2 linked regions of the Arabidopsis thaliana genome follow. The protein of the gene in region 2 interacts with the protein of the main gene of each other region in a pairwise test. Each region holds a gene or a part of one and is shown on either strand. Other genes may lie near its edges.

Region 1 (4,841 bases), on a different chromosome or scaffold from region 2:
CTGATGCAGTGGGGTAACCTATCGACAGCCCAACACCCGTAACCGCCCCTTGAGTCCCCGACTGCCTTCAACCAAACCATTTAATTACTAGATCTTACATACAGTCTATTTGCTAAATTCAGAACTGTATATTTTCAGGAAATCTTACCCGCAAACTCTTGAACTTTCCGGGCTCCAAGAATCGAGTAAAAGGATCATCTAGTGTTGCCACCATTTTCTTGATAGCCATGTCTAAACACAAACCAACACCAAATTTAGAAGCAAGTTGTACTAATTTTGTAAAAGGTTAATAAAGCTATTCACACATACATGTCTCTTCTCGAGTGTTCATAGGCTCATTTCGTAAAGCAGTCTCTCTGTAACGAAACCAGCTTTGTCCATTAAAGGTTTTATCAATATAAGCACGATCAATTGTTCTCCAAGCCTCGAGGAAGAGAAGATTCTCTTCAGTAAGACCCCCTAAAGAGACAGAGAAAAAAAGCCACACAAATGAAATCAAATTGCATTCCCCGAAATTTATATGGTTTCTCAACATGTAAAAAAAACAGAACTTACATGATGGTGGTGAATCAGTGGTAACAACAGAAATGGAAGAGACAAGCAGAACAGAAACGATCCGAACTAATGCAACAGAGAGATTCTGTCTGAAATTAACAGAAGATTTCATCATAACCTTCCCAGATAATTTCCTCTGATCATTTCTTTCGATAACACACAGAAATCTATTACAGACGAACACGACTCCTGGGTTTGCTGCATTGCTCCTTGAAATGTTACTACGACTACGAGCATAACTAAATTTGCTAGCTTTTGAAATCTTTGGAGGTTGTTTTACCCACAATTTCACCTGCAAAGGTTGAAAATTCTATTACACAGCTAAACGGACACAAATTGGGGAATTGCAGGAGAGAAACTTAAAAAGGAGTCAACTATACGAAAGAAAAGTACCTGGATTGAGAAATTAGGGTTTATTTTGTTAGGCTTAGTAAAAGAAATTGGGGATAATGAAGAGCTCGCAAGGACCTCCATTGAAAAGAGCTTCCCCGGGAAAATTCCAACTCTGTTTTTCTTATCGAAAAAGGACTACAAATATGATTGGACAAAGTAGTCACTTTCTACAATAAATTAGAAAAAATGGCATTTTCTTTTTAATAATAAATACAACTCTTCTATTATCCAAGGAAAGATTTCTGCACAAAGTTGCAACCGTACTACTGAGTCCTAACGATAATGTTAGTAGAGAAAGACTTTACAATGGATACTAAACATAATCCTTTACTAGTGTTCTGTTTCTGATGTGAGAAGACCCAATTCTTCTATAAGCTTATCCATATGTCTACCATTTGTGTTGTTGTTGTTGTTGTTGTTGTTGTTGTTGTTGTTGTTGTTGTTGTTGTTGTTGTTGTTCTCTAGTGTAGTTGCATCTCCAAAAACTGGGCTTTCTGGCATATATTCTTCAAGGAATTCAAAGTTACTCATTAGTTCATCAATCTCGGGGTCTTCGGGTATTCCCTCAAGCTGAATCGGGACTGAACCACCATCAAGGAATGGGCTTGGAGAGATGAATGCCTCTGGAACATTCTTCTCTGTATCCATGAAGTTTTCTGTAGGGAAGTCGTTGATACTCTCTCGTGTCAATTGTGGTATCTGGGAAGTCTCTGGCATTATGGTATCCGGGAGAGAAGTTGAAGTAGAGGGTAAGTATGATAAAGGCTGTCCTGATGGTACAGATGCATATGCCTGTGACTGTCCTGAAGTTATGGGTAGTACCTCTTGAAGAGTGACTCCTGATACCTGGTTTGGAGATGAGAACCCGTCAAGAAACGGATACTTATCATCTGTTTTCATCATGTTCCACATCATTGAATCGTTTCTAAGTGGCTGATACTTAACTATCTGTCCATCTGATGCTTCCAAGCTATGGCTATGACTATTACTCTCAGTAGCAGCAGTACTATCCTCTCTGAGTCTCCGCTTCTTATTGGCCTCGGTTACATGCATATTACTATCAGTCTGCTTCTGTATAAACTGAGAGAGGAAAGTAGGATTCTGTACAGCTTTAGCAAGGAAAGACATAATCTGTTGTTGCCTCTGCTCCATAACCTGAAGATGTTTAACCAAAACCTGAAGTTTATTATCTGTTGTTTGTTGCTGCTGGCGTAACTTAACGAGTTCCTGCATCAACACGTTTTTGTCTCTTTTAAGCTGTTCAACTTCTTCCTCTAACCCAAATTTCCCAACCTCAACACATGAAGATAATGCAGCCATTGAACCTTGACCCTGAGATAATTGCTGAGATTGTGGATTACTACTACTACTACCATGTCCCTGAACAGATTTTCTCCGGCTTATCTTCTTCAATAGATGTTTTTGACCTCTTAAGAAACCTTCATTAGCAAATTCCCATCGATCTGGATCCACTTTCCTAAAACCCTGTTCATCAAAATTGGCACATGAATCATATAAATCTTATCAAACACATCAAGCACTAAGATTATTCAACGAAATCATAATCTATACACAGTACAATTAGAGAAATCAATGGTGGAGAAATTAGGGCGCGAGAGAATTTATACTTACATAGGTGTTTAACTGGCGAACAAAGCTGGAGAAATTGTTGTGTTTGAAGTATTTAGGTAGAAGATCACGAGAAAACTCCGGTGGATCCCAAACAATGAAGCTATTGTTCGTCGGACTCCATGAGACAATCGCGTCCGTCGCCGGATCTTCCACCATGTCATACGTCTTGCTAAGGAAAGGGGGCGGTAAAGAGTTCGCATTAAGTAAAGTCGCTGGATGCGGATTCCGCGGTGGTGGCGCCGTCACAGCCTCGCCGATATTCGTTCCTCCGCCGGTAACACCGTCCATTTTCGTACGGATAAAGAAAGAGAAGTATTTGAAATTTACAAACATACCCTTTTATTTCTCTGTGACTCAGATATAAACGCGATATCATAAAGATGGGCTTTTATTTTTCTTTTTAGTTTGTGTGTGGGCCAAAAAGATCAACTTTATTAATAACTGGGCCTGCTAAAACAAATATAATAATAATCAATTTAATTGCTATATTGTCGGCATACATTTTCTGGCGGGAAAGCAGAGGAAGGAGAGTGAGAGAGAGAGAGAGAAATGAGTTCGTCCTCGTCGCCGGCGATTGAACCAGACACACCGGACCTGATTTGCCAGCTCGATAATGTTCAAGGAATGGTCGATGCACTCACTTGCGTCCGATGGAAACGCCACCAGGTTTTTATCTCCATCCTCCCCAAATTCAATCTAGGGTTCTTCTTTGATTTTCTGAAAACTTCTCCGTTTCCAGGATGCTTTAGTAGAATTATCTGAACACGGAATAGTTTTGATTGTTGAAGAATCAGGTTGTCTTCAAGCCAAAGTTTATCTTCAACGCGAGGTATCGATTTCTGAGTTTATCTTAAATTTTCTAAACCCCTAAAATTCGATTGAATCCGAAATCTGTTTGATGTGTTATATGAGTAGCTATTCACGAAATACGAGTATGGAGCTCAAGGTAGGCCGAGATTCGGAATCAGCTTAGGGCTTCTTGTTGATTGCTTGAACACATTTTCATCACCTGGACATTCTAATACTATAGAAATCAAGTATCCAGGACCTGATATGGAGCTTCTTCTCAAGTATGTGTACTATGATCCTTTGCTTTGTGAATATACGGATTACGAGTAATTAGCTGATTGGTGTGAGTGTTTGATTAGATCTGTTGATACCTTAAACTCTTGCATCTACTCTGAGATAAGAACTAGAATTCCCGAAACTGTTACTTGGGACTACAACTTTGAGCAGGCGGGAATCGCGCCACTTACTTTTACAGTAAAGGTAGTAACATAGTTTAGTATCGTTTTTCGTTTAACATTGTTAGTCTGAGCTTTTTCTCAAATGGTAATTGATAATGTATCTATCAGTCAGCGGCGTTGAAGGAAGCAATAGATGATCTTGAATGGCCTGGTTCAAGTGTACAGATCAGTCTTCAAAAGGAACCCCCTTGTGTAATCTTTAGAGGAGAAGGACATGGAGACTTGCAGGTCTTGTTTCTCACTTGTTTCTTGGTGATGTATATTATCTTAATGTGAAAGAATCAAGGAACATATTTCGATCTATCCTCTTTGCAGATAGACTTCATGTATTATGCCAACACAGATCTTCTCCTTGCCTTTCATTGTGATACCGAAGTCTCTTACGGGTAACAATGAACTCAATTCTTTCTCTACCGTAGCTTTATGGTTAAAACACACGCTCCTACGCTTGATTTACCAATCAAGAATAGTAGCCAGATACATTTGCTAAACTTCTCATTGTTGATTGTAGGTACAAATACAAGTTTTTGAAAGCAACAACGGCAAACATACCGGGAAACGTAGTGAGAGAAAACAGGGGAAGCAAACTAACAATAGGAAGAGGAGGAATGTTGAAAGTTCAGCACTTGGTTTCAGTTTCTAAAGCTTTAGCTCCACAAGTGGAATCCGCAGGGTATCAGCCACCGAGTCGGATTGCTTATATAGAGTTCTTTGTGAAGCCTGAAGAGCCTGCTGATTAATAGATTTTCTCCTTCAGTTACTTTATCTTTGTAATTCTAGTTCTTCTTTTTAGTCAGTCTCTCAATACTATCAGTATCAGTATCAGAAAGAAAGAAAGAAAAAGTTTAAGGCTTGCAAAGAAAAACTGCGTGTGGTTTCACTAAATTAGCTCAGATGTCTCGTCGTTTAGTGTTATATCGCTGAACGACGTCGTGCAGTGGAGACATAGGTATGTCATACCGAAAAAAGAAACCGGGTGTATAGTTCGGGGGATTGAACCCGACGTGAATCGAA
Region 2 (5,513 bases):
ATCATATGAAGATACGTCTTGCTACATGTTATTTTATTCAATTATTCAAAATGCATGGTTCTACATATGGAAATATACAGATATACGGTCTACTTACAACTTGATTTTTTTTTTTTTTGTTAAATTACAACTTGAAGATTCTACTATCAACAAAACAAAAACAAAAAAAAATCTTCTATCGATCGAGCGAGATATTCAAATCAAAATACATGGTCAACAGGTCAACTATAGATTCAAAATATATGAATACCTAAATATTCAAATTAAGATATATCAATTCACGATCTAAAACATCCAAATATAGATTTTGCGAAAACGGCCAAAGAAATTATACATAACGGATAAAAATAAATAAAAAATTACATACGGATACTACTTAGTAGTACTTACTAGATTACCTAAAACCCATAATCTTACATATACATATGGATAAAGGTAACATCGATGAATTACTTGTTTCATCCGATCTGGAACGAATATATCACCTCGCTCGACCTAACATTTATGTGAAACTAAAAGGTTGTTTACATTGAGATAAAACCAACATTATATGCTTGTCAGTGAGGGAAGTTGTGACATCTATTATAGTAAGAAAATTAAATGAATGAAGATATTTTTGCATTGCCTGATACATGCATTATATGTATTGTCCAATTTTGGCATTAAAGTCAACGAGACAAAACTCTAGATCAAGATGGTCTCTAATGTTGACATTTGTTGCGACCTCTTTCAAATGGGTTCATCTCATCATTCATCACACAAATTTGTTGCATTATCTTTTATAATCTTGTTAAATAAACATCATTACGAACAATTTGTGGAAAAATGGAAATTATATGAAAGCCATTGGAAGTACTATATACAATTTAATGCACATGACTTCAACAGAAAATACTAGAGAGACAAGATAAGACACCTATAATAATTTAAGCTTGACATGAAGTGCTAAACAATTACTGTTTAGAGACATATATGCACATGAAACTAGGAAAGAAAAAACATTGCGGTGAGTACATGTCAATGATTGTCGATGAACAAATTACAAAACAGTAAAAATCAACACCCACCCACATGGGTTCCGGTATAAGGGTCAAGTTTGGCGATAACACAAATTTTAGGGTTTGCAAAAATGTTGTAACCATAATCGGTGATGAAATATGGAAGATCATGTGAATATTTAGATGATGAAACTATTTGGCTGAAAAGACAGTTAACTTTAAGCTTTATTACTTGAGATGCCCCGTGACAGACAACGAATGACCTTGGAGAGAATCACACAGATGATGCTAGAGGTAGCTTTAATGTGTTATATTTGCGAATGAAGATGCTTCACGCTCCTGTCGAATTCTTCTCTCTTTAGAGAAAGAACAGACCATTATTAGTTTAGCCCACTCAAGAGAAAAAACCGAAAACAATTGCAATAAATGCTTCAAAGTGCAATAAGGAACCATAAGATAGTTAGCATCAACCTCCACTTCATACTGTCTTTTACAAGAAGACATACATTCATCTGAACAAATTGCTACCAAATTCGGCATTTAATAAGCTGTCTCGTTACTTAGGATTTTCATAACCACACAATTTTTTGTTGGATAAGATTCTAGTAATGTGTCAATATTTCAAAGGAAAACTATAATGCCGACAGACACATAACTTGATCCACAAACTTCCATTGGACTAATCTACTACTCGATTTATCATTCAGTTAAAAGCAATTCTATACAATGAAAGTTACTGCAAGTTTGACCTCTCAAGATTTAGGCTAACCTGACAAAACAGAGCAAAATCTTACAAGATTTAGGTTTAAATAAGACGTGTAGGAACCAAGAAACTAAGAACTACATGAGATTTAAGATGGTTCTTATTTCTTCATCTTCCATACATAACTTAAATGTGAATTCTACAAATGATTTTCTTCATCTCTTTTCTTTACATTTGATTCCATTTTATGTTTGCAAATAATGAGCAATCACAACAACTGTAAAAAACATCAATTCAAGATACTCCTTTTCAGCTTCGGTCAGCTATTTGGTTGTTCGTTATTGGTGTCCATTGCTGACTTATCCATCTCATCATCAGAATCAATGACATTTTCAAAGTCATAATATGGATGCGCCTGCACATTTAAAAACCGATGTCGCTATGTATGTGTATCAAAGAAGTAAAACAACTCGTTGGTTCATTATCAGCATCGTAAGTTAGTTACCTTTGGTCGCGGTTTAACAGCTTCGAAACTATGAAATTGAGGATCCGAGAAATCAGGCGCCTGCAAAATAATATATGCTCCTTTGTTTTTGTACCTCTCTTCTGTTGCCTACACCACACACAAAAATGATTGTTAACGCATATCTTTAGAAAATGCAAATACCAAAGGCGTAAAAATACATACTTGGAATTGCGGATAGTCAGGTGCACTGAAAATAGTGATAAGCTTTCCGGATTCGACATTGTGGTCTATTGTATATCCATTGTCCATTCCACCAAGACCAGTTCTCTTCTCTCTAGCATCTGGACCTTCATGTGATCTGATGATCAACTGCACCAATAAGTGTAAAACATTTGATCCAATCATCCATATCAGTATTTGGGAAGCAAACAAGCATCAATATCTACTTTGGTGTCACCTTCAGTTCATATTTCTTCAAAAAATCCTCTGTACAATCGGGACCCCAAAGAAGACCAATGCCTCTCTGTTCATTTGGTGAAAGGCCCGGAGTCATTGAAGGATCAGACCATAAAACGTCTCCTGGTATCAAGTTTGAACCTTCCCAAGGAGGATCAAGAACTGATCTTCGAGCTTGCATCAACTCATCTAAGGTACCGAGTTTCATTGAGCTCGGCTCAGGTTCCAGAAGAACTACCCGACGGTTCTTTTTCCCCCTTGTTGTTCGCTTAGGCAAGACTGGGCTGCGGAAAAGCCCTCCATGTGCTGTATAAACACGTCCAGAAATTATGGAAGCCAAAGGAAGACCTTCAAAGCAACCCAAACATTTCCGGTACACATGTTTTCCCTTGTCTCCGTATTTTGTAAGCACTTCCTTCTCGAAACCATACATAGATGTACAATACTTTGACTCATGATTACCACGGAGTAGGTAGACTCTGTCCGGCATCAAAACCTAAACAACCAAAAAGATATGTGCTTTAAGAATACTAAGACTTGAGCCAATAGTAAAACAGCTTAGTAAAGAGTTTACCTTCCAGGACAAGAGAACAAGGAAGGTTTCAAGTCCCCAAGCACCGCGATCCACATAGTCTCCGTTGAAAACATAACACCGGTTTTGACAAGGAAAGCCAGTATCTTTCAATAGGAAAAGAAGGTCATGAAGCTGACCATGAATGTCACCAACCACAACAACGTTGGATACAGAGTCAAGATCATCGATATGAACGCAGTTACGTTCTTTGTGGAGGATTTTATGAGCGGTGAGGACGAGGGAATCAAAGACGTTGACAGGCAATAGTGAAGGTAACTGGGAAGGAGGTAGATTCCATGAAGACCATTCGAAACACGACATAAGCCCATGTACCCAGTCGTTAGTGAGAGCTCCCCCATCTGGCCATGTAATGGGAGATGGTGGAACAGTTTCCATTAAAACTGTAAAAACACTAATCTATAATCAATTCCAGAGTATGAACATGTGAAACAAGAGTATCAAGCAATCGAAACATAGACAAAGTTTTCAAATTTCAGCGATCAAAGCCACCAGAACATAAAATCGAATCTGTATATATTCATTCGTACATCTTTAAACTCAAGAGAAGAGCAAAAAGTACAAAATCGAATCATGGGAAATCGAAATCCATATCACAAAGAATAATTCGGAACAGAGTGAGACTCACCGGCTAAGAGTGGAGACAATTTACAAAATTCCAAAGCTTGGATCTTGGACCTAGCTAAGCTAGCTTACTTTGCTTTCTCTCTGCTTTCAGTCCCGACACCGTCGTCGACGAGATTTAGGATCTGTCTGGCTTTGGATCCATTTACTCAAACGACGTCGGTTAACCAGCTAAAAGGATTCAAATCAAATTCATGATTCCAAACCGGCCGGTTTAATAAACGAACAAACCTTTTTTGTCGTGACGCTGCAATAGCGTTTTGCAATCACGCGCTATCGAAAACGCGAGTTCGAGATTTTGTTAAAGGTGGCCAACCGGTTTGTTCTGGTTTTGATATAAACTTGAACAAAATTGGGAGACCGAATTATACATTGGTCTATTCGGTTACTTATCGATTTCAGCTTGATTTTGTTTACGGTACTATCCAAGGAATTTTTGTTTGGTTTCGATTTTTTTATTTTTCAGTGTGGATGAAATCAAACCGACTAAAATCGGTTCGATATCGATTTTTACATTTTTTCGGTCCGGTTCATGCTTTTCCTCTATTTTGAGATATTTGTACTGAAAAGCAGAAAGAGAGAAGAAACACAAAAATTGGACTTTGGTTTGAAATTGGCGACATTTTTGGGAAATCTAGAGACTAATAATCAATTTCGTCAAAAGATCAAATCTTGCTAAATTTTCTTCTGCTCGTTTGATTTTCCGAATCGTTGGTTTCGATAAGTGAAGAAAAGATGGGGAATTTGTTCGTGAAGAAACCACAGATCACGGAGGTTGATCGAGCGATTCTCTCTCTCAAAACCCAAAGACGCAAGCTTGGTCAATATCAGCAGAAGGTTTTTTATTCTCTCTTCTTATATCTTAATTTTCTTTTGTTACAATTTCTTTTGGAACCCAGATCATATAGTTTTGATTCATCCAAAATCCTAATTGGAGATTGGATTTGATTCGTTTCACAATATGTGTCTTATGATTGTTAGTAGTGTGATGGAAAAGAAAGACTCAAGCTTTTGAGTTCTTTGGCTCATCTCTTTGTTAACCGATCTTCTCATTTTTTTTGCTAATTTAGCTTGAGAAAGTAATTGAAGCGGAAAAGCAAGCTGCAAGAGACTTAATCCGTGAAAAGCGAAAGGACAGAGCTTTGTTAGCATTGAGGAAGAAACGAACTCAAGAAGAGTTATTGAAGCAAGTGGATCAATGGGTCATCAATGTTGAACAACAAGTAAATCCTTCTCCTTGTGTGTATGTTTTGTATCCGGCATCGTCTCTTTTGATGCATAATTATGGCTTTCTCAAACTTTCATGTGAACTCGCAGTTAACAGATATTGAACTTACGAGCAAACAAAAGGCAGTGTTTGAGAGCTTAAAGCAGGGTAATAGTGCTATTAAGGCCATTCAAAGCGAATTGGACCTTGATGATGTTCAAAAACTAATGGATGATACTGCTGATGCTAAAGCTTATCAAGATGTGAGTCAAAATACTTTCGGGTTTCGTATCATTTGTTTATGATTCATTATTACGTTATCCGCTTTGTCAGAATGTAAATATCTTCTTATTTGATCACTGCTTTGTGTGGCACAGTTTGTTCTGAGCTCGTCTAGTGTGAAAACCTCTATAATCTTTTTTGTCGAGCTTTTGTGTTTGATGACTCTATTTACATTTCCGAATGTC

What was found.
Region 1: the proteins of PP7 (region 2) and HSF1 interact in a two-hybrid assay, tested with the Arabidopsis thaliana proteins (one study listed by BioGRID).

What each region holds. Positions count from the first base shown.
Region 1 is NC_003075.7:9,868,691-9,873,531, forward strand, and holds HSF1 (heat shock factor 1), read right to left. Parts: upstream 2,957-4,841; 5' UTR 2,914-2,956; coding exon 2,581-2,913; intron 2,434-2,580; coding exon 1,279-2,433; 3' UTR 1,128-1,278; downstream 1-1,127. Other genes in the region: AT4G17740 (Peptidase S41 family protein), read right to left, coding at 1-61, 149-231, 310-459, 556-847, 949-1,029; AT4G17760 (PCNA domain-containing protein), read left to right, coding at 3,130-3,246, 3,320-3,409, 3,496-3,650, 3,729-3,849, 3,936-4,055, 4,143-4,213, 4,339-4,567. UniProt on the Arabidopsis thaliana protein: Transcriptional activator that specifically binds DNA sequence 5'-AGAAnnTTCT-3' known as heat shock promoter elements (HSE).
Region 2 is NC_003076.8:25,559,316-25,564,828, forward strand, and holds PP7 (serine/threonine phosphatase 7), read right to left. Parts: upstream 4,002-5,513; 5' UTR 3,844-4,001; intron 3,610-3,843; exon of another isoform or gene 3,599-3,609; 5' UTR 3,594-3,598; coding exon 3,198-3,593; intron 3,120-3,197; coding exon 2,625-3,119; coding exon of another isoform or gene 2,610-2,624; exon of another isoform or gene 2,537-2,609; coding exon 2,390-2,536; intron 2,315-2,389; coding exon 2,207-2,314; intron 2,117-2,206; coding exon 2,021-2,116; 3' UTR 1,755-2,020; downstream 1-1,754. Other genes in the region: VPS20.1 (SNF7 family protein), read left to right, coding at 4,575-4,676, 4,910-5,062, 5,157-5,309, 5,444-5,513. UniProt on the Arabidopsis thaliana protein: Phosphatase active on para-nitrophenylphosphate (pNPP) and on various phosphoproteins such as myelin basic protein.